4 linked regions of the Tribolium castaneum genome follow. The protein of the gene in region 4 purifies or fractionates together with the protein of the main gene of each other region. This does not show direct contact. Links are inferred from orthologs where the notes say so. Each region holds a gene or a part of one and is shown on either strand. Other genes may lie near its edges.

Region 1 (8,277 bases), on a different chromosome or scaffold from region 4:
GTGTTTGACTAAGCACTGATCCTCAGATTCAATTCATCTGGTCTAAATACACCACATTAACATGGTAATGTTTGGTCGGGAGTGAATTCCCCAACAAGCGCTTTTAAATCTGCCAAATAAGGTAAACTGCCGTTCCAGCCTCCATTTGACTTGATTATAACGATAACGTCCAGTTCTTGTCGGCTCATTTCCGATGGTGAGGCTGTCACTGTATAAGACTTGTCCTCAATTAGCTGCGTTTTTTACAAAAAGAATCTCCCATATCGGTGGACACTGAAAAAATTCATTTCCAGCACAAACAATAAATATCGGTTCGAGTCACTGGCGAATGAATAATCCTGTCTCAAGTTCAAGACGAATGAGTGATTAGTATTTATGATTCATTTCTTGTACTATTAAAAGTTAATATGGCAGCCGATATAAAATTTGATTTATTTTAGACAAAGACACCGGACTGTCATCATCAATGTCGGCGATTTGTATTTGTATCTAATAAGCGATAGCGAAATGGAATTAAATGCACCTATTAAATATTTCTGCGTCAGAGTGGCAAATTTATGGCCCATTTTATCAGCATTCTGGGCGAAAAGTAACGCAGATAATGAGCAAAACATGTCCTTTCCCCGACGTGGTGTGAGGTCTCGGAGCGCAAAGTGAGAATTAATCGAAAAAATCTTTCCAGGAATTGTCTGAGAAATTCTGATACTTTTGCACAAGCTGAGCAATATTTTACAACCTCCTGTGCATAAATCTCGTTACTGTCGCTGTATTTTTACTAGAACAACGTCTTATTTACATCTCCGTTCTCACTTATGCTCATTTTTGAATGCCGATGGAGATGAATTGGTTTATTGTATACAGTATCAGACTGAATATAAGCACGACAAAAGACCTGCGGATTAAATTATTGCAACAGCTCGCTTTTCTTGCACTTATAAATCACAATATGAAACTTTGTTTATCCAACGTGATGTAATTCTTCACCTTCGTGGAATACTGACCTATTGAAGTATCCGTTCCGGATAGAGGGTGACAATAATTGCGAGTGTATGTGCTTACGATACTTGCAAATTCCTCCTATAAATCAATGCGAATGAAGGAGATTTTGCCAAAGGTTACCCTGCAAATTAGGCGATTCAGGCATGACCGCACACTGTAATAACGCCTGCCTTAAGCATGTTACAGGTTCACGAAGACATGAAACGCAAAGTGATGCTAAATAATAATAATAATAATGATAAAAAAGGAAAAAGTTTAAACAAATATTAAAAAAAAACAGATAAAAGTTGAGAATATAATGTAGTTATCTTAGTTAGAAATACTTAGTTCGAAATAAAATTATAGAGCAAAACACAAAAACTATTTTGGTCCATGTCTTAGATTTAAGACCATCATCTCCTAAGGTTTGAAATAAAAAAATATGTGCGTAGATGCACCTGTAAGGTAGCTCGTGGACATTGCCACACCAGGAAGTGCAGTCCGAAGAATCATGTCCTTCCGGCAAACGAAGAAAGCTAAAAATTGGTAACCATCTTGGCAATTACGCTATCAGGGTCGTGTTAAAAAGCCACGGTCAGTAATAAATTCCACAATTATTTCAATATGCTTTCTCGGGCGTTGGTAATGCATAAGAGCGTCATTACAATAAATACAGAGTACTTGTATAATACTCCGGGGAATATCAACAAATTGCAAATACGAACCTATACCCACTGCAAGCACGCCAACAATTTTATTTATGTTGCAATTATATTGCAATTTAGCTCGTTTTTTGAAAATTCGTCGTTTACGAAATACCCATAAAAATCCTTTATTGTGTACGACTGTCCTCATAAGTTGTTTGTTTGTCCAAAGAAAAACTTTATACTCTTATTTATTGGATATTAAAGGCGAATGTTATGACTTTTAAATTGGTTTTATTAAGGCAATTAAAGGTGGTGGACACTGTAAAACCCATATTTACGAAGTTACTTACACTCAAGCCACATATTTCTACAGATTTTATTAATGACCACAATTAATTACTCCCTAAAGCCTTCACCTTTTCTTCGATCAGGTGGTTTCTTTTTTAATGGAAATGCATGTGTCTACGCAACATGTTAAATATAAATTCACAGTATGCAAGATACCATCAGGTTTGTGCAGCTAAGTGCGTTCAAAATAACACAAAGTGCTCGCAAAACACCCAAGAAACAATGCATTACACTCTGCTCTAAACTTGTTTTGCTCACCAGGAAGAAAGTACTCGACTTTACCTAATTTTAAAATAAACCCACTTTTAACATCCCTATAGCAATAAATGAAACATCTTAATAATAATAGTAATAACAATAATAATAATAATAATAATAATAATAATAATAATAATAATAATAATAATAATAATAATAATAATAATAATAATAATAATAATAATAATAATAATAATAATAATAATAATAATAATAATAATAATAATAATAATAATAATAATAATAATAATAATAATAATAATAATAATAATAATAATAATTTGAATTGAATTTTTTTTATGACTAAAATGAATAGTAATCAAACGTTGAGCAGGAGAAGTAATTTAGGTCAAAAAAAAATGAGAAAATAATTATTTATATTGTTATTTTAGTCAATTAAATATTGATAGGCGTGGCCAATTATGTTTAAAATGAATCCTATTTTTATACAGAATCGTTAAAGGGATATATACAGTCAAAAGTCTGAAAAATAGTTCATTAAATTGTTTTTCAAGTTATATTTACAATTGGTTTATCATAAAAACCGTCAGCTGCAGTAAAATGGGACTAAAAACAATGTAATATCCTATATTATATTTTTGAATAAGCACTATAAAGTTGGCTTAGAAACATAAATGGTTGCGACATCTATCAAAAAAAGCAGTAATCATTGTAAACTGTACAGAAACCTATTAAGAAAATGCGCGCAAAGCAAATCGGTTTAACGGTCATCTTGTCTCCGCACTGAAATACAGTATAAGTGTTTATTATCGTTAGTGACAAATCACAAGTTAATTTACAACGTAAAGTGCTTCAAGTAAATTGTTACAACTGTGTGAACCGCTGTTTGATATAATTTGGGTAAACAACGATTGAAATTGGCCGTAGTTTTGAAATAACGATAAGGAACCGTCATTCATACGTTAGCAGCAGCGTATGAATATAGCCTTCCTGCCAGTTTAATCATCCTACATGTCCATGTGGTGTTAGCCGGCTGATTGCAAGAACCAATTAATTAAAACCGTTAAGTTTACAATATTAGTCAGTAATTCTACAATAAAATGCATCAAGAAACACTCCGACTTATACAAGTGCTAGAAAAAACTGTTTCTCCCGGTAAGTACAAAACTTGACTATTTGACAAGTTGCCATCATTTTTTAACCACTGCCATATAATCGCATGCCTAATCATCAAAAAGCACGTTCCTCTCAACCCCGCCTCATTTCCGCCTTTTCGATAAATTTCAACCCGCTTTGACATTTTACGAAATTCCCAAGCAACTCCCCGTCAGGGCTTAAACCAAAAACCTGACGATGTCGCCGCACCGGCGTCGAAACGTCGGTCGCTCTTTTTCCCAAAATGCAACTCTTTTCAAGCCCTCAAGCTCGCAAAGTTTCATCATAACCTCACACTTTTCGAGGTCATTATCCTCAGTGATTTTCCGTTAATCACAGCCTATTTGACGATTTCCAGATAAAAATGAACTGGAGCAAGCATCAACATTTCTTGAGCAAGCTGCCGCCGCTAATATCTTAGAATTTATCAAGACTCTATCCGATATCTTGCGACATGGGGGCAACAGTCCCGTTGCTCGCATGGCCGCCGGTCTCCAACTGAAAAACCAACTCACGTCCAAAGATCCCAACATCAAACAGTTATGTCAACAGAGATGGCTGTCGGCACCGGAGGAGATACGCAACTACGTCAAGAAAAACGTAATTGTTTATATACCGGTTTTGTTAGTGTTTTTTTCGACCGTTTTCTCCAGGTCGTAGGGGCCCTGGGCACGGAGACCAACCGGCCTTCGTCAGCGGCCCAATGCGTGGCTTACATCGCTGTCACCGAATTACCGCACCACCAATGGCCCGACCTGATCGTCACGCTAGTGAACAACGTAGTCCAACCAAACTCCACCGAAATGCAGAAAGAAGCAACGCTGGAGACCATCGGCTACATCTGCCAGGAAATCGACTCAGACGTGCTCGTTACCCAATCCAACGACATCCTCACGGCGATCATCCACGGAATGCGCTCCACAGAGCCCAGCAATCATGTCAGATTTGCGGCAACGCAGGCGTTGTTAAATTCGCTCGAATTCACTAAAGCTAACTTCGAAAAGGCAACTGAAAGGAATTTCATCATGGAGGTGGTGTGCGAAGCCACTCAGTCGCCAGATACGCAAATTAAAGTTGCAGCGTTGCAATGTTTGGTTAAAATTATGTCTTTGTATTATCAATATATGGAGCCCTACATGGGCCAAGCTCTCTTTCCCATTACTTTAGAAGCGATGAAATCTGACAATGATGCCGTGGCGCTTCAAGGTATTGAATTTTGGTCGAATGTTAGCGACGAAGAAGTGGATTTGTCCATCGAAGCCAATGAGGCAGCGGATGCAGGCCGGCCCCCAGCCAGGTAAGAGCATCATTTCTGGAATGACTATTAGTAAAAACTGTAATTCCCTGTTTATGCGTTTAAGTGAAATCCAGTCTGTGAGCGATATGATAAATTCGTAACTTAATCAGCTAATCGTTAAATATCATTAGATAACTAAGTTTTTCTGTTTTTACTTCGGTCAGAGAATTCCCACAATAAATGTTAACAAGAATAAATAATCTTTTTACGGCTTTTGCCATGCTATTAAAAGAATCAGATTAGTAGTAGTTTCATAAACCTAGTCAGATTTTTATAAACACAAATTAAACTAACGATGCTTTTGTGTTGCTAACTTTAGTTTGGTATTTTTATGATCGATAAAAGCCTTGTTTTGATTTGATTTTCACAATTTGCGTTTGAAACATCAAAAAATAGATAAGTGTTAAGTCAACAAGCCTATTATTAGAACGGAGATTATTCATTGTCCTGTTACGCTGACTCAACCGTCAGTCAGTTAAGCGAATATTTCTTCCAGAGTATCACGCCACTACGCCAAAGGTGCGCTCCAATTTATCGTACCCATCCTTCTGCAAAAACTAACGAAGCAAGAAGAGCTCGATGACGAAGACGACTGGAACCCGAGCAAAGCTGCCGGCGTTTGTTTAATGCTTTTGGCCACATGCTGCGAAAACGAAGTTGTTCCACACGTTTTACCTTTTATCAAAGAAAACATAAAGTCTGAGAATTGGCGATTTAGAGATGCGTCGCTTATGGCTTTCGGCTCGATTCTTGGCGGGTTAGATAACACCACTCTTAAACCATTGGTGGAGCAAGCCATGCCAACCTTGATAGAGCTGATGTATGATAGTAGCGTTATCGTGAGAGATACTGCGGCTTGGACTTTCGGCCGAATTTGCGAAATTATTCCCGAAGCGGCCATTAACGAGAATTATCTTAAGCCCTTGCTGGAAAGTTTGATTAATGGACTTAAGGCTGAACCGCGAGTTGCGGCGAATGTCTGTTGGGCGTTTTCTGGATTGGCTGAAGCCGCCTACGATGCAGCTGAAACTAACGAAGACACGGGAACTCCCGATACGTACATGTTGTCACAATACTTTGAGTATATAATTCAGCGGCTTTTGGAGACTACGGACCGTCCAGACGGCGCTCAAGCTAATCTCAGACCGGCAGCCTACGAGGCTTTGATGGAAATGGTGAAGAATTCACCGAAAGATTGCTACGTCACCGTACAAAAGACAACAATGGTGATTCTTGAACGTTTGCAACAAGTTTTACAAATGGAAACACACATTACGAGCCACAATGATAGGTCACAGTTTAATGATCTCCAGTCGTTGTTGTGCGGAACACTTCAGTCGGTTTTGAGGAAAGTTACACCAGAGGACGCGCCGCAAATATCCGACGCCATCATGACTGCTATGCTGACCATGTTCAACTCGAATTCGTGCAAAAGTGGAGGTAATTCACCAGCCAAATGCGCCTTCAAATAAAATCTTTCGCTTACACTTTACAGTGAATTGTATTAAAGATTTTAGTTTGAAGGCGTATTATAAAAAATTATAAGTACGGGAATTAAACGTTGTTTGTGTTAGGTGTACAAGAGGACGCACTGATGGCAGTGTCAACCCTGGTGGAAGTCCTCGGTGAAGGTTTCATCAAATACATGGACGCGTTCAAGCCGTTTCTTTACATCGGCCTTAAAAACCACCAAGAGTACCAAGTTTGTGGTACCGCAGTCGGTCTAACCGGTGACATTTTCCGCGCTCTCAAACTAAAAGCTCTTCCTTATTGCGACGAAATCATGACTCTTCTGCTCGAAAATCTCGGCGATCAATCGGTCCACCGTAGCGTCAAGCCACAGATTCTTTCAGTGTTCGGCGATATCGTCCTAAGTATCGGCCCCGAATTCAAAAAATACCTCGATGTTGTTCTCACAACACTAGCGCAGGCGTCGCAGGCACAAGTCGATAGAGATGATTTCGATATGGTCGATTATTTGAACGAATTACGCGAAGGTGTACTTGATGCTTACACGGGCATTGTACAGGGTTTAAAAGGCGATGGCCCGACACCTAATCCCGACGTTTTGATTCTCGAACCGCACATTCCTTTCATCGTTCAATTTATAACCGTGGTGGCACAAGACACGTTCAATTCTGATGCCACGGTTGCGGTGGCTGCCGGATTGGTGGGGGATCTCTGTACGGCTTTTGGAGCACCACTTTTACAACTCCTGGATTTGGAGCCGATCAACGAGATGTTGGCGAAAGGCAGACGAAGTGGAACTAATCGTACTAGAACTTTGGCCACTTGGGCTACGAAGGAGTTGCGCAAGTTGAAGGCTAATTCGACGGCCGCTGTAGCTAGTTGGTAAGTGGGAGTGGACAGTTTCAGCAGATCCAATTGGCAAAAAATCGTTACAAATAATATAAAACAGACATTATTAAAATTATAGCTGGGATTTTTTTAAAATTAAAATAAAGTTAGTTGTGGTGGGTCGGTTGGATCTGCTGCGTTTGAGACTTGGCGTTGGACTGTATGTGTCTCGCGAAAATCGGTGTGCTGAGCGAAGTTTGACAGTGCTTTCGATGGTTTCAGATTTTCTTTGGCATGTTGTGGTTTAACAGAAGGAAATCTAACGAAGGTGTGGTCAACGGCATCGATATTGGATTCGCATTATACATAAAACCAAAATTCTTGCAGACTTTAGTTTTCGTTTTGGCTGAGTCGGACCAGTTTTGCTCATCTCTCGGTTGAGTAAAGCTGGTCAGCTAGTTTGACATGGTATTGTTCCCCAATACTTTCGGTTTTCGGGGTGCAGAGTGAGTGCTGATGCATATGGACTCTTGATAAACTGTGAGTGCTAATCGTAGCTGTGAACGCTTGTGAATAGTGTCTGAATCTTCGCCTGGTTTCGTGAAAGGCGGTTTAGCTCAAGACTGAAGAGTGAAGTGGTGTCTCCTCTATCACTTGTTGCGTCTTTTACGTTCGTCTTCACTTTAGTGTTGTACTTGATTACAATAAAAGCATTTGTCTATTTCACATATCGAATTAATCATAAGTAGTTATTTTTATAATGGTCTTTGGTGAAGAAATTACCTATGCACTGCAGTCAGACAGAAGTAATCTTAAAATCCTGATTTATTATTGCTTCTTTGTTTCGCTGAAGTTGTGTGTAATTTCATTGCGGAAAAAAGCAAAACACGCTCTGGTGCTTCTTTAGATTTTGCGAATTTATATTAACTTTTCTCTTAAAAAGCAAAAGACTGCGATAATCAAAAACTGTCCAGAGGAGCGTGTTTCGGTTTTTCCCTGGTTGATTTTTTTGAAACAATTTCCAATTCACTGAATTCATACTCAGGAAATTTGAGAATAATAAATCTTGTGACTGGTATTTTTTATGAAAGATTTTTGTGAGGCCTGATTGTGCCTTGCGTGGGTGGTGTATGAAAATTTTCGAGTTTTTCGTATAAGTCGACACGCTGATTAAATATACGAAAGTGCTTGAAAGGGAGGGTGGGTATCGCAACAAAGTAAAAAAGAATCTGTGATTTGAGAAGGTTTCTGTAGTTGCCAAAACACGAAAAAGATACATTCAAATTCCATTAGTTTTTTAAATGCGTATAACGAAACCTTCTCAATGTTTTCGTA
Region 2 (7,167 bases), on a different chromosome or scaffold from region 4:
AGTTGATAATCCCTCCTGACAATTAGCCGCCAGTGCTGCCAAAGCTAAGTTGTAGTGTGGTGGCACTGGCGCTTCGGAATTTTTGGTTGTGGTACCACTGTACTTAATAAAGTGTTTGAATAAATTGTTTGTTTTTGGGGGGAATAAAGTGATTGTGTTATCCACGGTTTATTTAGTCTTACACATTTTTTACAACTCGCCAACAACTAGTGTTACAGTTACTTATTGTACAGTTCACTTTCTAAATGTCACAATTACGTGTAATGATATGTATAAAAATTCAAACAAATCGAATGAATTTCAACTAAAACCAGTTCCTCCTGTACAAAATGGAATGAATCTAGACTAGCACACTTTATAACAATTTGTAACAAGTTACTAACAATTATATAAATACAGCGTAACAGAATTTGTATAATATAGTGACTCCTTTTTTTACACATCGTACACATACAAACAGTTACAAATAATTTCTGGAAGACATACACTAGAGGCTAAATGGAAGACATCGTTTAATACATCTGAAAAGTGTCCTGTAATTCGGCAAAAAATCCCCAATTATTGCTTTTCGCGCCGGAATTGGTTACAGGATATTTCTTCTGGAAGACTGTTACAATCACAGCAATGAATAATTTGGTCACACGAAATTAACGTTGCCTGTACCGAAGTTCTAAATACTTGACCAGTGTTGCCACCCGTATTTTTGCGAAATAATCAAATGATATTGTGAATTCCACATTTTACCTAATACGTATTTAAGATACTAGAACATCTAATTCCTAATTGGAAGACAAATTGAATGCTCGTTTGAGGGTTGAAGGCAAACTTTGCTATCTGTAATGGAAGACTCGTTGACCCCACGAACACCAACCCTTATTTCAGTAAATACAAACTGTCGTCCCCACGAAACGGCAAAATTTTTACTGTTTTAATCTTCATCAGCCAGATTACAGAACAAAAACTAAATTTGAAGTCAAAATTGCTGCCAACCTGACGACAAGAATCACAATCCCGGTATTATCTTTAAAAAAAGCACAATTTTCCCGTTTCGCAGGACGTGAGAATAATTGAATCATTTATTGCGCCTCTCTAGACTAAAAGCGTACGAATTGACAATAGCAGTTGGTAACCATGTCCGTATTTACTGAAGGTGGGTTTTTAAAAGGGAAGCCCGATCTGGAAGGCGTTAATTAGGGCCCTCCCCGAGTCGTAAATCCCGACAAACCCGAAAAGCATACCGAGGGAAATGATAAAATAATCAAAAGCCACCGTCCTTGAATCCATCCCTTCCCTTTTCAATTTCAAATGGAAATAACACGGCCAAATGAAACTAAGCATCGTCCCCGTAAAACTCCCAATAAACCCCATCAAAATGGCAAAATGCGGGATAAAGCAGGCCATGAGGATGGTAAAAACCACAACCCCCACCCTGCACGCCAGCCCCCATACCTTCAGCTCGCCATCAAGGGCCCAGATGGTGGGGAAGGGCGTTTTGGGTTTTCCCCGGAAAAAGGCGCGCTCGAGCAGCTCGCAGGCGGCGTAGTAGGGCAAAGGGTAGCTGAGGAGGGCCTTGATGACCAGGCAGATGTTCACCAGGCCCTTGAAACCGGCCGAGGGGAGGTTGTTGGTGATGACCTGTTGGGTGTCGTTCTGGAAAGTGAGGAAGCAGAGGTAGCCGAAGAGGGCTTTGAAGACGGCGGCCCACACGTGGGACCAATCCAGCATCCACTGGAACTTGGAGGGGTCCTCCATGTTGCCTTCAAGGGTCGGGAGGAAGATCTGGGAGGTGTAGGAGAAGACGATCACGCCGAGGCTTATGGGGAAGTTCTCCAGGTCGAGCGACCACTTGACTTTGCCCCAGCCCCAGTCGCCGATGTAGAGGAGGCAGTAGCCGAGGATGATGGCGTTGATGAGGATGTGGGACATCGTGCACCAGAACGAGAGCAGACTCACGCTCTGGAGGGTCTTGAGGAACGCTGAAAGATTTGATCTTTTATTTTCAAAGCTTCAACCGAACGAACTGAAATTTTGCACACATACGTAATCTCGTAAAAGTGCAACAATACTTAATCTAAAGGTAAAATGTTACCTAAAGGGAGGAGGAAAATCCCGACTAGCATCATCCACGATCGGGTGTCTATAGCCCCATCTGGGAAGGTGCCGATCATCAGGTCGCCACAGACCACCACGTACAAGATGCAAGTCATCAGGAGTTCGATAATTTGGGCTATATTTACAATCCGAGCGCCGTATTTTTTGCCAAAGCAAGCTTTAGCGATTGAAACGTAAGAGTCTCGGACTCGGACTTGGCGTCCTGTTTGGACGTCAAATTCGTAGAGACATTCCACCAGGATTTTGCCAGTGTAACAGCAAATGTAGGCGATGCCCACCATGGCAACGATGGCCCAGTAGCCCCCTCGGAGGACCGCAAATGGCAGCGACACGATAAACATGCCCTAGGAGAAAAAACTTTTTAAAAAATTATTCAATCGTAAACTTAAAAAAGTGGTCGAAAGTTTTATCAATAAATGAATTTTTTATTTCTCTTGTGGCATTTTTTTTATAAATCTAGAGCATCCTTCATTGAAAAACTTACTACATAAGTACTTAAAAACTGACATTAAAAAAAAAATTAAAATCTTGATGGGGCACCTGTATGGCGTTGGTGACGTTCCAGGCGGCCTGATACTCGCTGATCTTCACATCAGACTTCCCCTCGACAAAGTCGGAGCCTTCGGAGAAGTCGACCGAGGACATGCGGGTCTTGAGGTCCTCGTTGAAGCTGTCCTCGGCCTCGAAGTTCTCCTGGAGGAAGGGGTTGGTGGTCTGCTTAATGTTGGTCATCTCGTGGTGCTCGTCGGTGGTGCCCCCATGTGTGGTGTGGTTGACTTGTGCAAAGTGGACGCGCTCGTGTCCGGGGGCCCGCTCGGGGATCATCTGGCGGAAGGTCTGTCCGGCCACGTTGACGGCGGCGGAGAGAGGCGGCAAGCGGATGTTGCCCAGACGGTTCATTGTGTGATGGCACTGAGCACCGCCAAGATGGAACAAACGCTAATTTTTTACTTTAAGTGTGCGAAAAGTGCAGGTTAGACCATTTTGGGGGCGATTTGGAAGGTGGTGATTTCCATCTTGGCGGCGGTTGACCGGAGGAGATGTGGTACATTGGCAGACTCCGGGTACACTCCGGGGTGCGCAGGCACGGACTCAGTTCGCTGTTTCAGTCAGAACATTGTAAAATTATAATTCGAAATTTTTTGTGTTCCTCTTTTCCAGTTCTGTTGCTTTTTATTACCTAATTTTATTACTTAATGGCTGGCTTAAAACTTAAAGTTTTTAACTTTCTAAAAATCCGGTCTTCATGTAAATTTATCGGTGTAATAAGAAAACAGTAGTAATTTTTATACAGTATTGAAGAAGAAATTAAAAAAAAAAAAATTTACCAATTATGGAATTTTCCGAAATTTTGGAATTCATTTCCAATATTTTTGAATTATAATATTAATACTTCGCTAAAAACCCTTATTCCTCCCCTGCATTCACCCCAATTTCAGCCTTTCCCCCGACTGTACCGTAAAATGATCAATAAGTTACTGAAAACTGAAATTTTAGAGACTTTGCATTTTCAGTAATTGAGCCAAAACGTCTCAAACCCGCCAAAATCCGACTTATTTCCCTAAATTTCCTTCCTCCATCCTTTGAACTACTTAAATCCCCCGAATCCTCATAAAATAGTCAGGATTTTAGGCAAATGAGACCGCAAAATTTGCACAGAGCGCCAAATCTGGTAACTTAAATTTTATCCCCAGTGTCAAACCTGTCACAACCCTTAGAATGTTTTTATTGAATTTTTGAGCGCTTTTCGTCAATAAATCGCAAAAATGAGCTCTGGGTTCATATCCGAGGCCGAATTGGCCGAAGCCAGGCAAAAAAGACAGGAGGAGTGGGAGCGGGTCCGCAAACCCGACGATCCAATCGGTGAGCTGACCTAACCCCACTTTTGTACAAATTTGAGCGAAATTAATCGAATTTTCGGTGTTTGGGGCGCAGTGCGGCCTGAGGAGCCCTACGACCACCGCAGTTTGTACGAGCGGCTGCAGGAACAGAAGCAGAAGAAGGACCTGGAGTATGAGGAAGCGCACAAATTGAGTAAGTCCCGCCACTTAACCGTGACATTCGTTTAAAAGATATAAAATTTATGAGTCATTCATTACGTAAGCTAACCTAATAATTGCGGTCAAAAATCCGTGTTTCAGTTCGGGTTTTACACTTGTTTATTTATAGTTTGTGTTGTTTTGCGTGAGTTTTGACAGACGATTTTGACAAAAAGTTGCTGAAAAAATGTTGCAGCAGAATTATTATTATGACCAGAGTGAAGGTAAACCCTACTGTTCCACTTTTCTGGAACTTTCTTTACCAAAAAAATGCGCATTTTTCCGTTGCAGAAAATATGATAAAGGGTCTCGATGATGACGAAATCGAGTTTCTTGACCTTGTTGATAGAACTAAGATCGCAGCTGATCGTAAAAAAGAGCTAGAGGAAGAGATCGAATTGAACGATTATCGGAACAGAGTTGCCACCTTGCAGGAAAAGTCACTAGAAGAGCGCCTTCAGGCCGAAATTGCTGTGAATAAGCCCAAGGCCCCCACGAGTAAAACCTCGCAACAGAAGTTGCTCAAGGGGGTTGTGGTCAAAAAGAGGAAAAATAGTGAGGCGAAGGAGGAGAAAGACGAAGCGAAACATAGGAAAATTGAGGATGAAAAGACAGAAGTTGTGGCTGATTCGGCCTTGAAATGTGTGGGGATCTTGCCAGGGTTGGGGTGTTACAACGAATCGACTTCGGATGAGAACAGTTCGGATTCCGAAGTGGAGACAACTAGCGCGAAAATTGATATTCTGGGGAGGAAAATAACGAAGAAAGAGAAGGAAACGTGAATTGGTTATTCAGTGAGATTTGTGGAAGAATCGGAGGGTTCTTATCTGAGTTAATTGTCTGAATTAATTGTAAATAGAGTGTACCTATTATTGATTCCTGTGTTTTTCTAATAAATCGGTAAAAAAGGTGTTTTTTATTGTTGGAGAAACTCTTAAGGGAATAAAACCATTTAGAGTAAATTTTTTGTTTTATTAATTATTACCCTTTTTCCTTGAAACAAAAAACTGCTTCACATCAAAAATGGGCCACAACAACCATTGGAGGTTGGTACCACTGGTAAGTTCTATTTTTTGTTACCAATCCAAAAAAATAGGTTATTGCTATTGTAAAAAGTGGGGAATTCGTAAATACCAACTCAAAAATTGCGGGTTCGTTTCCTCGTCTGGCCCAACTTTTTTTTATATATCAAAAAATATTAAATTTAACAAACCTTTTTTGAAAAATTTCGTCAAACTTTCTGAAAAATTAAGAAATCGATTTCTTCTAATTTAGACCATTTTTATGTTAAAGTAAAACACGCCATATATTATAGATTTAAAATTGAATTTATTTTGATTGCCTTTCTTGAGGACCGAAAGAGTAAACAATTGAGACGAAAATCGTGTTATTTTGACCTTTTTCAAGGCTTTCAGGAACGTTTTGAAATAATATTTTGTTAAAACAGATCGAAAAATCAACAAATTCTGTTGGTAGTTAACTAATTACATTACTATGATTGCCTTTTTTCGAACCATTAGCTCGTTATTTAGCCAGAAACAATTGTTTTGCGATTTTTTTATTGTTTTTATATTTTTCAAACAAAAAAAAACAAATTAACTCAATTAATTAAGAAATTAACTCAACAAGCCTAAAAATTGTACTAAATTTGCATTTTTAATTATTCAAGTACGTTAATAATGATGTAAAAAGTAAGTAAGTGAGTTTTCTGTTGTTAAAGTCTTTCTGTTGATTTTTAGTTATTACATTTTTTTAATTATTCTCGATCAATTTGACATCATCTACAAATGGGCCAAAGAACTGATATATCGTTCAATAATTTGAATTTTATTCAATAACGTTTTGTATTTTTTTAATATAATTTCAAAGTCACCGAGGTCTTTGTGATGCGCCAAAGCACTAGTTTATTTATAAAGAAAAAATGAGTTTCTCGCAATTTCGTGTCACAACTGTGGTAAGAAACATCTGGAGACTTAAACCCACTAACATTTCAATTTTCCCAACTCCCAAAACTCCAGTTGCCACAATATAACCAACGTAATGATATTATCTGCCATTAGGGTCGCAAACCCAACTCCGGTCGGAAACGATAAGCACAAACATCTTTGCATTTGTATCATTTAATTGCGTTATTTTTTTGTCAACCACTCAAAAAACGCTTTGTTTCATTGGGTTAATTAGTCGTCGGTATTTCTATTCTGTTTCTCTAATCGGATTGTGCAGTGAAATGAAGGAAAAAAACTTGGATTCGTGTTGTGTAGTTCCGGAAATAAAACAAGTCGGAATAAAAAAACATATTTATTAAGTAATAGTAATAACAGAAATACATTAAGAAAATCACAGACATGAACATCGAACAGAGAGTAGCAAGAATGGTGATGATGAGAGGCCAGAGGCCGAGTTGGAAATGCAAAGCGTATCTTGCTTATCTACAGGGTGGGGCATAAAGCAGCCCTGGACGATACCCACTTCCTTATTGCAAATTCTAGTGCAAAAAATTAAATCACTTATCCAAAACACCCCGTATGACAAAAACAAATAGTTTAGTGATTTTTGTTAAGAAAGTCGGTATTTTCGGACGCCGCACAAATGACTCACCCTGTATAACATTAAACATTTTTACACAAAAGTCTTAAAACTACAGCTAGGCCGGTATAAAAATACGTGATATGGTCGACGAATCGAAAAACCTGACTGTTTGAGCCCAAATTTTTCGATTTTTCTGAAACAAAACGGGCTTATGTACAGGGTGTCCCACACAAGTATTGAACCAGGGCTTGGGTGTTCAAACCACGCACGTCTTGGTCGTTTTCTGGCTTGACTGCAGGCGTCCGAGCGTGAAATGAAGCTGATTATGCACAGTTGGCACTGATTTAATCCTGTGTAAGTAATGGAGTTGTGTGCCCGAGCCGGAACTGTCGCCCCACTGTAAAAAATTATGTTTGTTTTAATTCCGAGTTAATTGTTTCGTTCGGGGTGAATTCGTTTACTTTAGCTCGGCGGAGTGGAAGTTTCG
Region 3 (7,280 bases), on a different chromosome or scaffold from region 4:
ATTTTCCTTAAACCAATCACAATGCACAATACATATCAAACCGATTAGTTACCTACCACATAAAGCACCAATTTTTGATATTAATTTCAACAATTAATTCTTTTGTTTGGCGTTTGATATTAAACAACTAACAAGTAAACAAATTTATATCAGACACAGGTATTCCCGCAGCGAGTGCTGCGACATCCTTTTTTTTATTTTTAAAATAATATTTTTGTTGTCACGTTGGAGGGCTGCAAATATTAACAGATACTTTTTTTTATTAATAAAGGGTTCAATTTTTGATACCCATTACCTCGAAAGCGTAAATGTGGCATTAAAACCAGGAAAATAAAATTAACTTTGTAGAACCAAACAAATCTATAAATACTTAGATTGCAGTAATAGTACGCCAAACATAAAATTACCATTTGTCAAACAAATGAAAACATCCAAGTCATTTTCCAAGGCCGTTTAAGGCAGTCTTAAAATAGGACTAGATTGAACCTTTTAATTTTTGCTGCAATGTTAGAAAAATAACTGTTTATTTTTAATCATCAACCAACACTTAAAGTCGATTCAGAAAAGCGCAAAGGAACACTTGTTCGATAGCATAATCAACAAGGTTGAGTCATAAAAAATGTAATTATTTAAACAGCAATAAAAGTCTCACAATACCACGATTAATATTTACAATTATACGCAAATGCAGTTTGAAGATTTAGATTTGTTAGCGTCTGCTTGTTAATGAATTTTCCGATGCATACATAATTGGCGTAATTTTTTGTTCCTTAGCACATTGCGTAATAATACTCGTTTAAAAACAACACCTAAATTACACCGAGTCTTATTATTGCTCAGACAATTGTACGATTAGTTTAATTTTTATTTGATATTTATTTATTATATTGTTTGTAAATAATATTCCTGTTTAATTTTCCAGCTAACTGTGGAAGAGTATGTCCAGGCCATGGAGCTCTTAGTCAATGACTACCGATTCACACTATACAACGTGTGTTACAAGCGCGTGCTCGTCGTTTGGATCATCCTTGCATTTTCCGTACTATTCGGTTTATTATTCTCGGGTTTATCTGGTCTTACACTCTTCGGGTTAGGTATCGGTTGGTTAGTTTTAAACGCGGCTGCAATTTTCTTCTCAATGTGGATAAAGTATAAACTATCCCGCAACTTGGAACGATGTCTGGCTCATGTGAATAAACAGTTACTCAGACACAAAATTGTGATAGCACTCGACGATAGAGGAAAAATTTCGTGTCACAAAGTCAATCTTTGCTTCCTGTACATGGACTCAGCTCCGTGCATAGCACACTTGCAAACGAGCATCGATCAACAGGAGAGAGATCCGGCGAATGGATGGGAGCAGAGGATGGACATCACAGCCCATGACATTGTTATTCAAGGAAGTCGAACGACGAGGCTATCCAGGAAACAGGTGGGTGATGGGTTAATAGAGTGTGACTGAAATTTGGCCGCATAATTAACATCTCATTTGAAAATTTCCGGACGAATTAGCTCTTAACTGTCTTCTTTGCACAAACCACGTATCTACTAACAGTTTCGTAGCAGTAGAGGTGCAGATTGGAGTGGTGTGATAAATAATCCCAGTTTTGCAAAAACAAGAGTGCAATCATATCTAGCCACTGCCCATTTCTGGCCTCTATTGTGGTTGCCAACTCAGGCTCTATAGAAGTGTTTTCTTGCGATTTAGGACCGGGCTGAGCAGTTGTTCTTGCGCTATTTGCAAAGGTGGGGAAAAGATTTTCTCAGGAGACGTTTAGATTGGACCGTGGACGAAATGTTGGGGAATCCGTCCAATCCTCTCCACATAAATTCGTCGCTTTGCCCTTGCCAGTACGTCGAGGAGATACTGGCAAATAAACCGCCGAGATCTGACAGAGATTGCTGTCCGATTTGGTCGCGATTTTTGGCCAGACGGGGCATCGATTAAGTAATTTTACGAATCTTATGCACTTTTGTTTTTGTTATTGTACTTTTTTAACACACGGGTTTTTCATTTGGAGGGTTGAGGAAAATTAACACTGCCAAATTCGAATATCACACAAACATTCCAGTTGTTAAACCGTTACCGGAAATGTTTCTTTTCAGGAGAGGGCGACATTGTTATATTTGCGATATGCATCTCGTTGGGGGCGTAATGTAGTGCGTGGATTATTAGTAAGTCCACCGGCCTCAGGGGGCCGGCATTGTCCTTCACTTACATGTCCCTGTCAATTTATTGAAGAGCATCTGCACTGTAAACCGTCAGGCAAGTTAACAGTCAAGTCATTTTTTAGCATCCCTGACCAACCCTATGACAGCAAATGTTGTATTCAATGACCAGCTTTTCAATTGAGGACTGCATTTGATACAACTTTGTACAAAATATTTTATTTTAACACCGAAACATCATTACTTACAGAGGGCATTATAATCTTCCTTCGATTACTTTACTTCTCTCTTTAATATTAGTGGCTCAATAACTGTGGGTGGGGTCCTACTTAACCATTTCTCCATTTGTTGAAACTTACTAATTACCCTGAGGCTGGTATTTTCGGTTTAGTTTCAAAAATGTGTAATTATGCGCTTTTATTGATTTGCCATTCAAAATCTAGTGGAGGTGGGGAACAAAATCATTCATCTCAAAGAAAAAGTAATGATTTGGTTCCTGACCCAGAAACAAACATGCACAAAAAGTCTTACTATAATGATAGAAATTTCTATTATGTACTTAAAAATCACATAAATGCTATTGTAAAGAGTTTATATTTTATATATTTACCAATATTAGAGACTGTTACATTATAGATTTTTAAAACTGTTACTTATGTACTTTATGCTAGTTTTAGAACCGCATAGAAATACATTCCGTCCAAGATGATCTGTGTTTACATATTTTTAAAAATAAAACAATCATGTTTCATATTAGACATTTTTTCTGTTTTCCTCTTATTATTATATTACACCAAGTACTAACCATTTTTCATTACAATTTAAAACAGGTAACACCAGGTAAGAATTAATTTTCATTATTGTATGAATCTAATAATGCTTTCACCGCACTTAAACAATTGTCGCTTCCGTGCTGTAGTGCGATAATGCTTATGCTTTTTTGGCTGCTAACTGTTGGTTTCATTGCATTCTCAAAAAATGTTAATCAGAAGATTGTGTAAAGCATGAACTCATCGTCACAAACGTGACAAGAATTATAATGCATTAAAGACTTAAAAAATTACTTCCCTTTAATGTTTTAAGTGTTTACTAATTATCCCCCCAATTCTTACATTTTTATTTTACAGGACCATGCTTGATTTGCTTCTACATGTCAGATCGTAATGTTCAGGCTCACACTGACGTTAATCCAATGCATTACCCCCTGTAATTCACACTTTCATAAAATCCGTATTGTTACACTGGTTTTTGGTCAAATAAGTTAAAGTATTGTACTATTATTTTATTAAAAATATAGATAACAACGCAATACTGATTATTCTCAACTCCTTAAAGCATTTGCCGACGTTTCCCTAATGGTGGCAATTTGTGAAGCAATATCTTTTTGCAATGCCTCCATTTCATGTTTTAAATTGTTGAGTATGTTAGAACTTTTTTCCAAGTCCTGCGTACCTTTTAGGAACTCCTCGATTCTCTCAAACTTGGTCTCTCTGGGGGGCCTCTCATCCAGACACCAGTACAGCTTACTCCTCTGGTCTTCGACCCTATAAACGGCCTCGATGTCATCAATTACCTGCTGCCGGGTCATGGAGAATTTATTTCTTTGTGGAACTGTGCTACTTCTAAACATTTTTATGATTTTAAGTAGAACAAAACAACGTGCCCCCTTATCACGTGACTTACGTCATTTTGTGCCATGTGACATGCCAACACCATTTTTGGTGCTGTTTTCACCGACATCCAAGTGACAGCTAAAATCCCTAGAATTAAAATTTACGAATCATTTTGCCGACTTGTCTCCCATAAACAAAGCGTAAAATGTCGGTTTTGTGCCCCGAAATTGCGCCCCCAGGTTTTTCATTCGCCAACTGCAAGCGGTAAGTTTACAAAAACGTAATAGTTCCGCTTGTTTGTGAAATTGTGACCCGTGTTTTGCCTTGTCATCAACATAACCTCTTCCAGAAATGCTACCCTCGAAAGTAAAGGCTTTCCGGTGCCCAAAGCCACCAAAACCGGGACCACAATTGTGGGAATCACTTACAAAGACGGGGTGATTCTGGGGGCTGACACCCGAGCCACAGAAGACACCACCGTGTCGGATAAAAACTGCGAAAAAATCCACTACCTCGCCTCCAATATGTAGTAAGTGTTGTTAACTCGACCACCGACGAGGGTTAAATTAATTAAACGTAGTTGTTGCGGGGCTGGGACTGCGGCCGACACGGAACAAACCACCCAAATGATTTCCTCGCAACTCGAGCTGCACCGTTTGTTCACCAATCGAACCCCCCGAGTGGCCACCGCCAACCAAATGCTTAAACAGTACCTCTTCCGCTATCAGGGGTACATTGGCGCAGCCCTAGTTCTTGGGGGAGTGGACGTCACTGGGCCCCACTTGTATTCAATTTACCCGCACGGTTCCACAGATAAACTGCCGTACACTACCATGGGATCAGGCTCTCTTGCCGCAATGGCAGTGTTTGAGTCGCGCTGGAAGCCCGATTTGGACGAAGAGGAAGGGGTCAAGTTGGTACGGGATGCTATCGCCGCTGGTATTTTCAACGATTTGGGGTCGGGGTCTAACGTGGACGTGTGCATAATTCGGAAGGGGTCTGTTGATTATCGCCGCACTTACGACGAGGCCAACAAAAAGGGGGTCCGCCAGTCGTCCTACCAGTACCCCAAAGGGACCACTGCGGTTTTAAAAAGTAAAGTAATCAAGGTTGATGTGGTTGACGTTGCCGTTCATCCCATTGAGGCCGAACAGATGGACACGGCTTAAATCAATTAAATGTTTTTCACATAAATACATTTATTCAGTTCATAATAAAATATATAAAAATGATTAATTTGTTCAATATCAATATGAGTATCAAATTTGCTGTCATGGAACAATTGCTAATTTTTATGAACTATGAAGTCCCAAGTGTCTTTCCATCTCAGATCAATAATGTCATTTGTAGTTAACGGGGTTGTACCATAACACAATACTATAAATTTCATAAAAACGTAAAATATGCAACAAATCCATAAAAATATGAGTAATATAAAAATATACTTTATGACCCTAATTTTAAAAATATCACTAATTGTTGAATAAACGTGTTCAAGCAGGGCCGCTAATAGCAGCGTTTTGAACGTAAATGCGGGCAAATAGTGGTGTAGAAAGAGCGTCCGCTCCACGAAAAAATACGGTAGATAATGGAACAAATAGCCTGTAAAAAATAACTCTCCAATCAACTGAAATTGTTCCCATTTTTTCGTATCAAGGTCGTAACACTGTCTCCGTCGACGAAGAAGATAGAAGACAAGTAGAGTTGAGTAGGTGGCAAGGCCGGCACTTCCGGAATACCAGAGCAAGAGATTTCCAATTAGATGTATTTGCGCCTGTAATTAATCGTTATTACAAGCCAAGTGCTAAAGTCATTAATATTGGTTAGTAATAATAATAATAATAGTGTTCAGTGATTGGAATTATTTACTAGAATTATTCATAAAATTACTAATAGAGCAATTTCCATGGCCTGAAGTACAAAAATTTTCCGGACATCGCGTACAATAACTGGTAACTTTGAAATTAATAAAAACAATTTGTTGTATTTAATTATCATATACTACACCTTTTGAGTGATAAAATTACGGAAATACTAATGTAATAATGATAATGAATATAAAAATGAAAAAAAATCTGAAAGAAATAGTACTGCTGATTACAAATTATAAATTTGTAATGACGAACTTCCCGACGGTATATTAAAATATTGATTGCGAATAAAAATTATCATTTTTTAATTATCTTTACGTTGACTTACGTTGCTCGTCGATGAGACCCAATAGGCGATCCCCCTGGCCATCAACGGCCATTCCAGAGGCTCCGAACTATACATATGATTTTGCACACTTTCGGTGCCTGAAAACAGCATTTTGTAATGCAATTCGAAGAATTTTTCCCAGAATGTTAGCGAAGTTGCAGCTGTTGGGATCATTTCGGCGGTAACGAGTTCGCGTTCGCGTTCTTTTTGATCGTCGGCTATTAATCAAACAATTAATTTGGTTTACTGAGAGTTGAGGTAAAATTACATTTAGTGTATCGGTGCTCCTCGACGTTCCACACCGTGTCGTCTTGATTGATAATCCGGTCAGCGGCAACTTCATGCTGATGGAAGCCCCAATCTGGGAGTTGTCGTCCGGTGAATTTAAGAGCTGTGTTCGTATCAACGTGTATCAGTCTTATCAGTGATTGTATTGTGTGCCAGCTGTCCCCGTTTTGATCCCGGTTTAAAATTTCCACCCTCCAGAGGTTTTGCGCGGGCATTGAGACGTTGTAGTCGATGTAACAGGACACTTCCTGGCATTGGGGGGACACGGGCGCTGCCACGTCGTGGGAGTTTAAGGCACGGCTTGTTATACCTGCAAAGGTGCCTCAAGTTGAAAAATACTTCCCACATTAAATAAAAACGCAGTGAAAAACAGCTTTTATTTAAAATAAGAAACAAAAATTTGAAAGTGGTTCTCACCATGTACTAGCTGGATAACATCTCCATGTTTGATTGCATCTATGGGTTGTTCAACCACAAGATCGTTTTTATTTGGCCTCTTCACAATCCACCAGTTATTAACATCCTTGAATGAATAACAAGTGACTTGCTGTTGATGACTAGAACCTCTTTTGTCGGGATATCTGATTGGATAAACGTGATTGTGGGAATGTAACCAGCACGTCCTCCCATGAGTGTGCCTACAAATTCAGTTAGTAAAATAATGACCACTTAAAAAAAACTACCTTAGAGTAATCTGCGACCCATGTGCCACCAAGAGGGGCTGTCCCTTGGTGATGGAAGCCAAGCCACCCTCCAAGGAGGCTTGAAACGCACTGGTCATAATACTATCATGTGGTCCCGCTTTGTACAATACTTTCAAATGAATGTAAAAAACAGCCAAGTAGATTAAAAATGAAACTGAAGCGGCAACGGCCGTTTGGGCCACAAACCGCACCAAAAGGGCCCTATCTGTGAGGGTGGAGGAAGACAACATTTTCCAAAAGTCGCGTCCGAGGATGGCAACCCCCAAACAAAACGAGTAAAACCCGACGTACTTCACGGACAAAGCGC
Region 4 (7,427 bases):
GAGTGCTTTGGAAAAAACGTCAGAAATATTCTATAACAAGCTAAATTTTGACAGTTCTGTTAAATTTGCGAACAGAGTTTTTTTATTTTACGAAGAGTGAAATTCTAGCTTATGTTGTTTAATTTTTAAATAAGAAGCTTGCCGAAAATGTGAACCTTTCTGACCCAATTAATAAAACTTCTAAAATCTAGTTTGTTTAAAAACAAAATTGTTGGCGTCTTTTCCAAAGCACTCTTTCCAAAAATGCTTTTATCTCCATTTTGACCATCATGTAAGATTCGATTATATCATGTGATACAACGTTGTAATCAGGAATAAAAACACTTTTCAAAAATACAAAATGCAAATATGGCTTCCATAAGAAAAAACAATGTTGAGGGTTGTAACTCTGACATCAAGAACGCCTTGGAAAATATGGTGACAGATTTAAATTCTTTGTAAAAAAGTGAATCAAGAACGTCCAAATTAAAAACTTCTTGTTCTTTTGCTTTTCGCTTGTAAAATTGAAATTGAAAATTACAAATTTCCGTTTTTTTCCAATAATTCAAAAATTCACTATAAAAATGCGCAACTTTGTCCTAATTTAACCGACCTCGTATTTCTTATAACTGAGATCCCTATGGTGGGGCTCAAAAAAATGGTCATCCTGTATATAAGCCAATTTAGAAATTTAGGAAAAACAGCGATTACATTTTAAACACATTTATTTCCAGTTAAAAAACTTTTAAAATTGTGGGTTAGGGAAGTTTCCTAAGATCGGCTCTCCAATTTATTATTATTGAGGGACACGTCAGATTCATAGATTTATTGAAAAAAAAATAGGTCTGATTTAAATAAATTATGATAAAATAAGGAGTTTCATTCATCAACTAAAAGGAGCTTTTAGGACTTGATGCAGGGTTTAGGTAAATAAGCTGTCAATTATCCTGAACGTGTGCGATAACATCTAAGGGAAAACTTTAGCTCTAACTAATTAAACTAAATCACAATATGCGCACCCTCCTGACATAACAGTGCTAATTAGTTCGTGGTTGCATGTCCAAATTAGGGGTGGGTTTAATTAGCTAATTCGTGGTGAAATAAAAAAGTTTGATGGGTGAAACCAAATTTTGGGGCAATTATTGTGGGCCACTTATTGTTGTAAAAAGTGAGTACAATACCAGTCTAGTGATTGGGTCCACGTCTGTCGGCACTGGTCAACTAACCCCTCAAAATTACATGTTTCCGAGCCGATCAATTTCAATAAATCATGTAAAAAGTGTGGTCGCGCATCGGCCTTTCCGAAGCCACTGAAGAGTGTTTATTCGAGCGGTGCAAGCGCTTTTGCTGAAGACGTTCCACCCCTATTTAGCTATTCTTTTTTCACAATAGGTGACCGCATTAGCCTCGCCTTATTGATATGTTTGTTGGAGGCGCAAAATATTGACAAGGACGCATTTCTAGCGTTTGAATCGACTCCGGAATACATTTATTACGCGCATACAGGTTTCTGCTAAAGGAAATTTAATGATATGGCTTGTATGGTAATGAGGCCGGACGTGCTTTTCGTGGTCATGCATTGCCAAGCCAAAGCTCTAAATTCTCGATGTTTTTTCGTTACGCAAAACTTGAAAACATGGAACTTTTATCAAGACAAGCAATTGTCTTCGTACACATCTGTTGTCAGGTGTTGTTGCTAACAACAAATCAAGAGCGGTCACGAATATTTTACCGAACCATTAAGTGTAATACGCGTTTATTTATTATTTTAGATTGCTTTGTCCATATTGATTGTCTGGCGAAAATTCGATTAAGTTTTTGCCGCGAAATTAGGCTTTTGTGTTGCAATTTTTTCACTTATTCTTCTTTGAAACCAATCAAGGCGGACAAATATTTCGGAACATCATCTTTGTTGCTTTAATAGACAGATAAGCCATAAGTCTTTGTAGAAATGTTGAAAATTATTAGATTTTTTTAAATTTAAAAAGAAAAGCTTCGATATTTTCTTTAGTATTTCTAGATTTTCTGGACCGAAACGTAATTATTTCGTTAGTTGTTGTAAAATTAAGCAAAAAACTTGCTAAATTTGAAGAAAATGACCTATATTCTGTAGAGGATTTTGTCAGAAATAGCACAAAACAATCACAATCATCAAACTGAGTAAAAACTTGCATCATCTTTGCTTTTTTTGAGCTTTAAGGTACGTTTTTGAACTTAATAACTATTCCATTTTAAAATTTTTAAATCATGCTTTTGGCAGTTGAAAAAACACTAAAGTGCTTTCAAATTTTTAAAAAATGTGGGTACACAAGTTTTTTTGTGTATTTTTTGTTTTTTTTTGAGCTTTCAACCACATTTTTTTTGAACTTGGGAACGCGGAATTAGCAAGAAAATCATATAATTGGCCCAAAACGTAATTACTCTGTTAGTTGTTTTAAAATTAAGTCAAAAAGTTACTGAATTTTAGGACGAAAATAACATAAATTGGGCTTTTTTCGAGGGTTTTAACATGTTTTTAGTCAGATTTTGAGAGAAATGAGTCAAAAAATCACCAAAATGAGTAGGAAACTTTTGTCTTTGAAAGAAAAACTACGCTGTGAGAAGTTTTATTTTATTCTAAGTGATGGGATTCCAAGGATTTGGGTTGATATAAGTGACCGAGGTTGACGAACAAAGGGCTGAAAAAAATCATTAAAACGTGCCCTAAACCTGGAAGTAAATTACATTCAAGTCCTTTATTCAAAGGGATTGGTTTTTGCCGATGTTTGGAATTTTTCAGCCACTCATTGAACGCTTTTTCATTGTCCTTCAACTGTGTTTCTTTGCGTTCCAGCTCGTTGATCAAATCCATTTGTTTCTTAATTTTCTTTTCCAAATTCTCTTCTTCCTTCTTTTTTAACCAGAGCTGAAAATTGAGCTGATTTTCCAACTGGCGTTTCTCCTTCTCCAACTCTTTTAACTGCTTTTCTTCCTCTTCTTTCTCTTTCTTGCGTTTCGCCTCCTCCTCCAATTTTTTTTTATTCATCAACCATTTCCTAAAGTTATCTCTCTCTTGCTCGAGCAATTTTTCCTTTTCCTTCTCTTTTACTTTCGCTTCATCGACGATTTTCTGCTTCTGAACTTTCTTCCTCGTCTCGTCTTCTTTCTTGATCAATTTTTTGATTTCGACTTTGGAATTTTGCGACACTTTGGTCTTACTTTCGGGCAGTTTGAGCACTTTTCTTGATTCTTTCAAAATAGGAGGACAATCGGCATGAAAAGGACACGTCTTCTGGTCTACAGAACAAGTGCAACGTTTGGTCTTTACTTCCGGAAAATCCTCAAGCGAGGATTTTCCCGCAATCGAAGTGTTTTCACTTGACACATTCGCCGAAAGCGGCTTTTCCACGTAAATAGCCGAGTTTATGAATTTTCGTACGACATGAGTGGAAACTCTTCGATTGTCTTCTGACATTTTCAATCAAAAAACAAAGACAGGGGCGTCAAACAATTCAAACTCGAAATTTTCGCGCATTTCGCGTTCAGTGACTTTGGTGAATCAACGAGCGCGTCCTGGCGTTAGCCCTTTTTTTTGCATGCGGACTGTTTTTACGTTTTATTTTTTTTAACAATTAACCAGATAAACCAAAACTTATAGAATTGTTTCATATTTTTTTTTGGCAACTCGAGGCCAATTTGGTCGCTAGTTTTATTGCCAACCTAAATCGCAAATCGCGAAATCACGCTGTAAATATTTGTTGTATAGAAATTCCAGATCAGTGGGATCAAATTTTAGCAATCTGGCACAAGTTGTTGCATGATTCAATTAGTTGTTGATTTGGTGGATTGGGGATCGCGTCCTGGTGCTAGGCCCAATTCTCGTCCTTTCTTTTGCCATTGCCCCAAACATTTAGGTTAAGTCAACTCAAGTGAACAGTTCAAAAGTTAGTTCTAATTGTATATTATGGCAGATGCAAAAAAGGTGAGTGGGAAAAAAGGCGCGTGCCGATTCAGCTCCGCACGATTTCGTGACAGTTTTGTCAAAAACTGGTCAAAATTTGAAGTGATGCCCTCTTCGAGCTCCATTTCCGTGGAGGGCTGGGACGAGGAGTCGGCCTACCACGAGGTCTCGATAGCCCCCTTGTGTGTGGTTGATAGTTGCGTTTTCGCAGGTGTTGGAATACAAAGACAGTCTGAAGAAAGAGGCCGAAGAGTTGCTGCTTAAGGGGTTCCCCGCGACGATTGTGAAGCTCAACGCTTTGCTAGAAACGCCCCAGTTCAAAAATCGGAAATTCACTGACGTGCACCAGGAGCTGAACATCCCGGTGCCAGACCCCATTTTGCTCAACAGCCACACGGACCTGCCTCCAGCCAAGAAGGCCAAGTATGACAATAGCATATCGCAAGACGGCACCAAGGTCATGATCCTGCCCACGGGGGCTGTGCCCACTAACAAGCATCTGGTCGAGTTGGTCGAGGCTGTGAAGCCCCACATCCGCAAACTGGTTGAAGACTCCAATACTGTAAGTTGGCATGGTAACCATGCCAAAATTTGAATGATCTAGTCTCACAAGTATTCCACAGCCTACTCAATGCACATTCCTGTGAACAATCGGAACTTATAAAATGTTCTTAACTGCCTTTAATTGTTTAAATGACAAGCAAATACATCATAAAAAATTTAGATAATACAATTAAATTTGTGAACACGGATAATTTTCAGAAAAAACAATATTTCTGAGCCTTTTCGGAGTTACATACGTAATTTAGTGTTTGACGTATTTTAAAAGCGGCACTTGTTTTTTGTATTTTATTTTATATTCTAAAAGAAATGATGCTCTTATGTTAAAGTATTTTCGTTGCGAGACGAGGGACGAGTGTTGTGAATTTTTTTGCAGATGAAAATGTGGATTTCTTTTATGATTCCGAAAATCGAAGACGGCAACAACTTCGGGGTGTCGATCCAGGAGGACACTCTGGCCGAGGTGCAGTCGGTGGAATCGGAGGCGGCGGCGTTTTTCGATCAAATCTCGCGATATTTCATTTCTCGAGCCAAGGTCATCTCGAAAGTGGCGAAATACCCGCACATAGAGGACTACCGAAGGGCCGTGCAGGAGCTGGATGAGAAGGAGTACTTGAGTTTGTGGTTGGTCATGTGCGAGATCCGAAATCGGTATTGTGCCCTTCACGACATAGTTATTAAAAACCTCGACAAAATCAAGAAGCCACGTTCCACTAATGCTACTGAATCTTTGTACTAAAACAGATAAATAAATGCATCTTTCGAATTTTGATTTTTGTAAAGTGTGTACGTGACAATGAGTATTATACAATATTTTCGTAATAAAGTTATTGTGAGTTTTTTTATCTGTAAGGGAACTTGTAGTGACACTTAGCAGTGAGTAGCTGTTGGGGTTATTTTTTATTTAAAATAATACATTTCATAAATAAATTATAAAACGACTTTTTATTCCAAATGCTACACTAGTACATACTTTTCGTAACTGAGTTTTCTAACGGTAGGTATTAGAGTGAATACGAACAAATAGAATCGTTATGAGATGATTTTTTGTTTGTTGCTTGCTCTAAGTCTTCCACTTTCCGAGAAAAAAACACAATATAATAATTCCGAAGTTATTGCTCATTAATGATCCGGATACCCAGAATCGACCAAGATCTCGACAAAAATTGAAAAAATCAAACTCCAAAAAACCGAACATACCTATGCAAAATGATCCGGGGAATCGATTGGAATCAAAAAAAGCGCTAAATTCCCAATAGTTTTTTAGTTATGAATTTTTGAGTATATGATCTAATTTTCGCTTTTATTTGAATTTTCTCGAAAACTATAAGTCGGACAACAATAATCTTTTTTGCAAATGATAGATCATTAAAAGGGCTTTCCAACGATACTACACTTCATAGGGTTATCTCGAATAGTTTCAGAGCTATTGCTCGAGAAATGTTCCGGGTACCCAAAATTGACAAAAACTGCGACGAAAATTGAAAAAATCAAACATCAAAAAATCGAACATGTGGACTTTTTGTGGACTTTTAACAACTTTTATGGGTTGTTAAGACATGTAGAAGTCCATAAAAATCTACTGAAGTGAGTTTAAAAAAAAATTTTTTTTCACCTCTTTGAAGGTAAGGAAATTTGAGCAAAAAAATTGAAAATTTTAAATTGCGTGAAAAATTAGTATAATAGAGAAAAAAAGCCGCTGAATCCAATGGAACAAACCGCACTGCTCTACGACTTTTAGTTTTCGAGTTATGAATTTTTTTAATGAATAAAATTTTTCACTATGACAAATAGCTACCCTAAATTTAGGCAAAAAATTTTAAATTTTTAATTCTTGTGAAAAATCGATATAATATGTAAAATGAGCCGTAGAATTCAATAGAACAAACCGCAATGCTCTACGACTTTTAGTTTTTTTTTTATGAATTTTTTTAGTGAAAAACTTTGATCGCCTCTGTAGCCGGAACCGTCGCCCGGAGCGGCTCCGGGTTTGGTCGAAAAAATAGACAAAATTAAGCGCTATCAGATGGTTTTTTGTTCGTTGCTCTAAGTCTTACAGTTTCCGAGAAAAACGCAAAAAAAGGTTTCCATTTTCACTTTTTTTCAATTTTCAATCGCCAATTACGGCGAAACTATTAAAGATATCGAGAAACGGAAAAATGGAGGATAACCGGAATAAAAAACTCTACAAAATGGCATAGGACTCAAGGCGATATCTCGCAAAAAAATTTTCAATTTTCAAACGCCGATTACGGCCAAACTAAAAGAGCTAGGAGAAAACTCTTTTTTAGATCGGAAAGAGCACATCAAAATCTATAAGATAGAATCGGTTTTATTTGATTTTGAGACACTTTAAAAATTGACCGATTTCTAAGGGGGGGGTGTTAATTTTTTTTTAATTTTTTTTATTTTCTCATTTACGGCTAAACTATTCTAAAAAGTGGAACCATTTTGATTCATACCTATACAAAATGATCCGGGGAATCGATTGGAATCAAAAAAAGCGCTAAATTCCCAATAGTTTTTTAGTTATGAATTTTTGAGTATATGATCTAATTTTCGCTTTTATTTGAATTTTCTCGAAAACTATAAGTCGGACAACCATAATCTTTTTTGCAAATGATAGATCATTAAAAGGGCTTTCCAACGATACTACACTTCATAAGGTTATCTCGAATAGTTTCGGAGCTATTGCTCGAGAAATGTTCCGGGTACCAAAAATTGACAAAAACTGCGACGAAAATTGAAAAAATCAAACATCAAAAAATCGAACATATGGACTTTTTGTGGACTTTTAACAACTTTTATGGGTTGTTAAGACATGTAGAAGTCCATAAAAATCTACTGGAGTGAGTTTAAAAAAAAATTTTTTTTTTCACCTCTTTGAAGGTAAGTGTATTACTCAGGAAATTTGAGCAAAAAAATTGAAAATTTTAAATTGCGTGAA

Evidence for each region.
Region 1: the proteins of REG (region 4) and Fs(2)Ket purify together in Homo sapiens (affinity purification with mass spectrometry; 3 studies listed by BioGRID and IntAct, with this or other methods). This does not show direct contact. The link is inferred for Tribolium castaneum from reciprocal best matches to the Homo sapiens genes PSME3 and KPNB1.
Region 2: the proteins of REG (region 4) and PSME3-interacting protein purify together in Homo sapiens (affinity purification with mass spectrometry; 4 studies listed by BioGRID and IntAct, counting the BioPlex papers as one, with this or other methods). This does not show direct contact. The link is inferred for Tribolium castaneum from reciprocal best matches to the Homo sapiens genes PSME3 and PSME3IP1.
Region 3: the proteins of REG (region 4) and proteasome subunit beta type-7 purify together in Homo sapiens (co-immunoprecipitation; 4 studies listed by BioGRID and IntAct, with this or other methods). This does not show direct contact. The link is inferred for Tribolium castaneum from reciprocal best matches to the Homo sapiens genes PSME3 and PSMB7.

What each region holds. Positions count from the first base shown.
Region 1 is NC_087398.1:2,428,154-2,436,430, reverse strand, and holds the start of Fs(2)Ket (importin subunit beta-1), read left to right. Parts: upstream 1-2,955; 5' UTR 2,956-3,292; coding exon 3,293-3,347; intron 3,348-3,705; coding exon 3,706-3,947; intron 3,948-4,000; coding exon 4,001-4,644; intron 4,645-5,140; coding exon 5,141-6,084; intron 6,085-6,218; coding exon 6,219-6,996; intron 6,997-7,224; coding exon of another isoform or gene 7,225-7,225; exon of another isoform or gene 7,226-8,277.
Region 2 is NC_087396.1:21,467,585-21,474,751, reverse strand, and holds PSME3-interacting protein, read left to right. Parts: upstream 1-3,787; 5' UTR 3,788-3,878; coding exon 3,879-3,975; intron 3,976-4,047; coding exon 4,048-4,146; intron 4,147-4,442; coding exon 4,443-4,933; 3' UTR 4,934-5,061; downstream 5,062-7,167. Other genes in the region: Gnpnat (probable glucosamine 6-phosphate N-acetyltransferase), read left to right, coding at 1-19; VGAT (vesicular inhibitory amino acid transporter), read right to left, coding at 1,159-1,976, 2,090-2,456, 2,653-3,012; orexin receptor type 2, read right to left, coding at 6,937-7,077. UniProt on the Homo sapiens protein: Promotes the association of the proteasome activator complex subunit PSME3 with the 20S proteasome and regulates its activity.
Region 3 is NC_087398.1:8,314,818-8,322,097, reverse strand, and holds proteasome subunit beta type-7, read left to right. Parts: upstream 1-3,886; 5' UTR 3,887-3,987; coding exon 3,988-4,046; intron 4,047-4,131; coding exon 4,132-4,311; intron 4,312-4,362; coding exon 4,363-4,951; 3' UTR 4,952-5,014; downstream 5,015-7,280. Other genes in the region: uncharacterized protein LOC659493, read left to right, coding at 923-1,432, 2,107-2,266, 3,297-3,379; rt (protein O-mannosyltransferase 1), read right to left, coding at 5,068-5,556, 5,982-6,199, 6,250-6,579, 6,687-6,907, 6,953-7,280. UniProt on the Homo sapiens protein: Component of the 20S core proteasome complex involved in the proteolytic degradation of most intracellular proteins. This complex plays numerous essential roles within the cell by associating with different regulatory particles.
Region 4 is NC_087395.1:26,220,871-26,228,297, forward strand, and holds REG (proteasome activator complex subunit 3), read left to right. Parts: upstream 1-3,946; 5' UTR 3,947-4,024; coding exon 4,025-4,084; intron 4,085-4,130; coding exon 4,131-4,481; intron 4,482-4,856; coding exon 4,857-5,219; 3' UTR 5,220-5,246; downstream 5,247-7,427. Other genes in the region: coiled-coil domain-containing protein 34, read right to left, coding at 2,596-2,657, 2,704-3,433. UniProt on the Homo sapiens protein: Subunit of the 11S REG-gamma (also called PA28-gamma) proteasome regulator, a doughnut-shaped homoheptamer which associates with the proteasome. 11S REG-gamma activates the trypsin-like catalytic subunit of the proteasome but inhibits the chymotrypsin-like and postglutamyl-preferring (PGPH) subunits.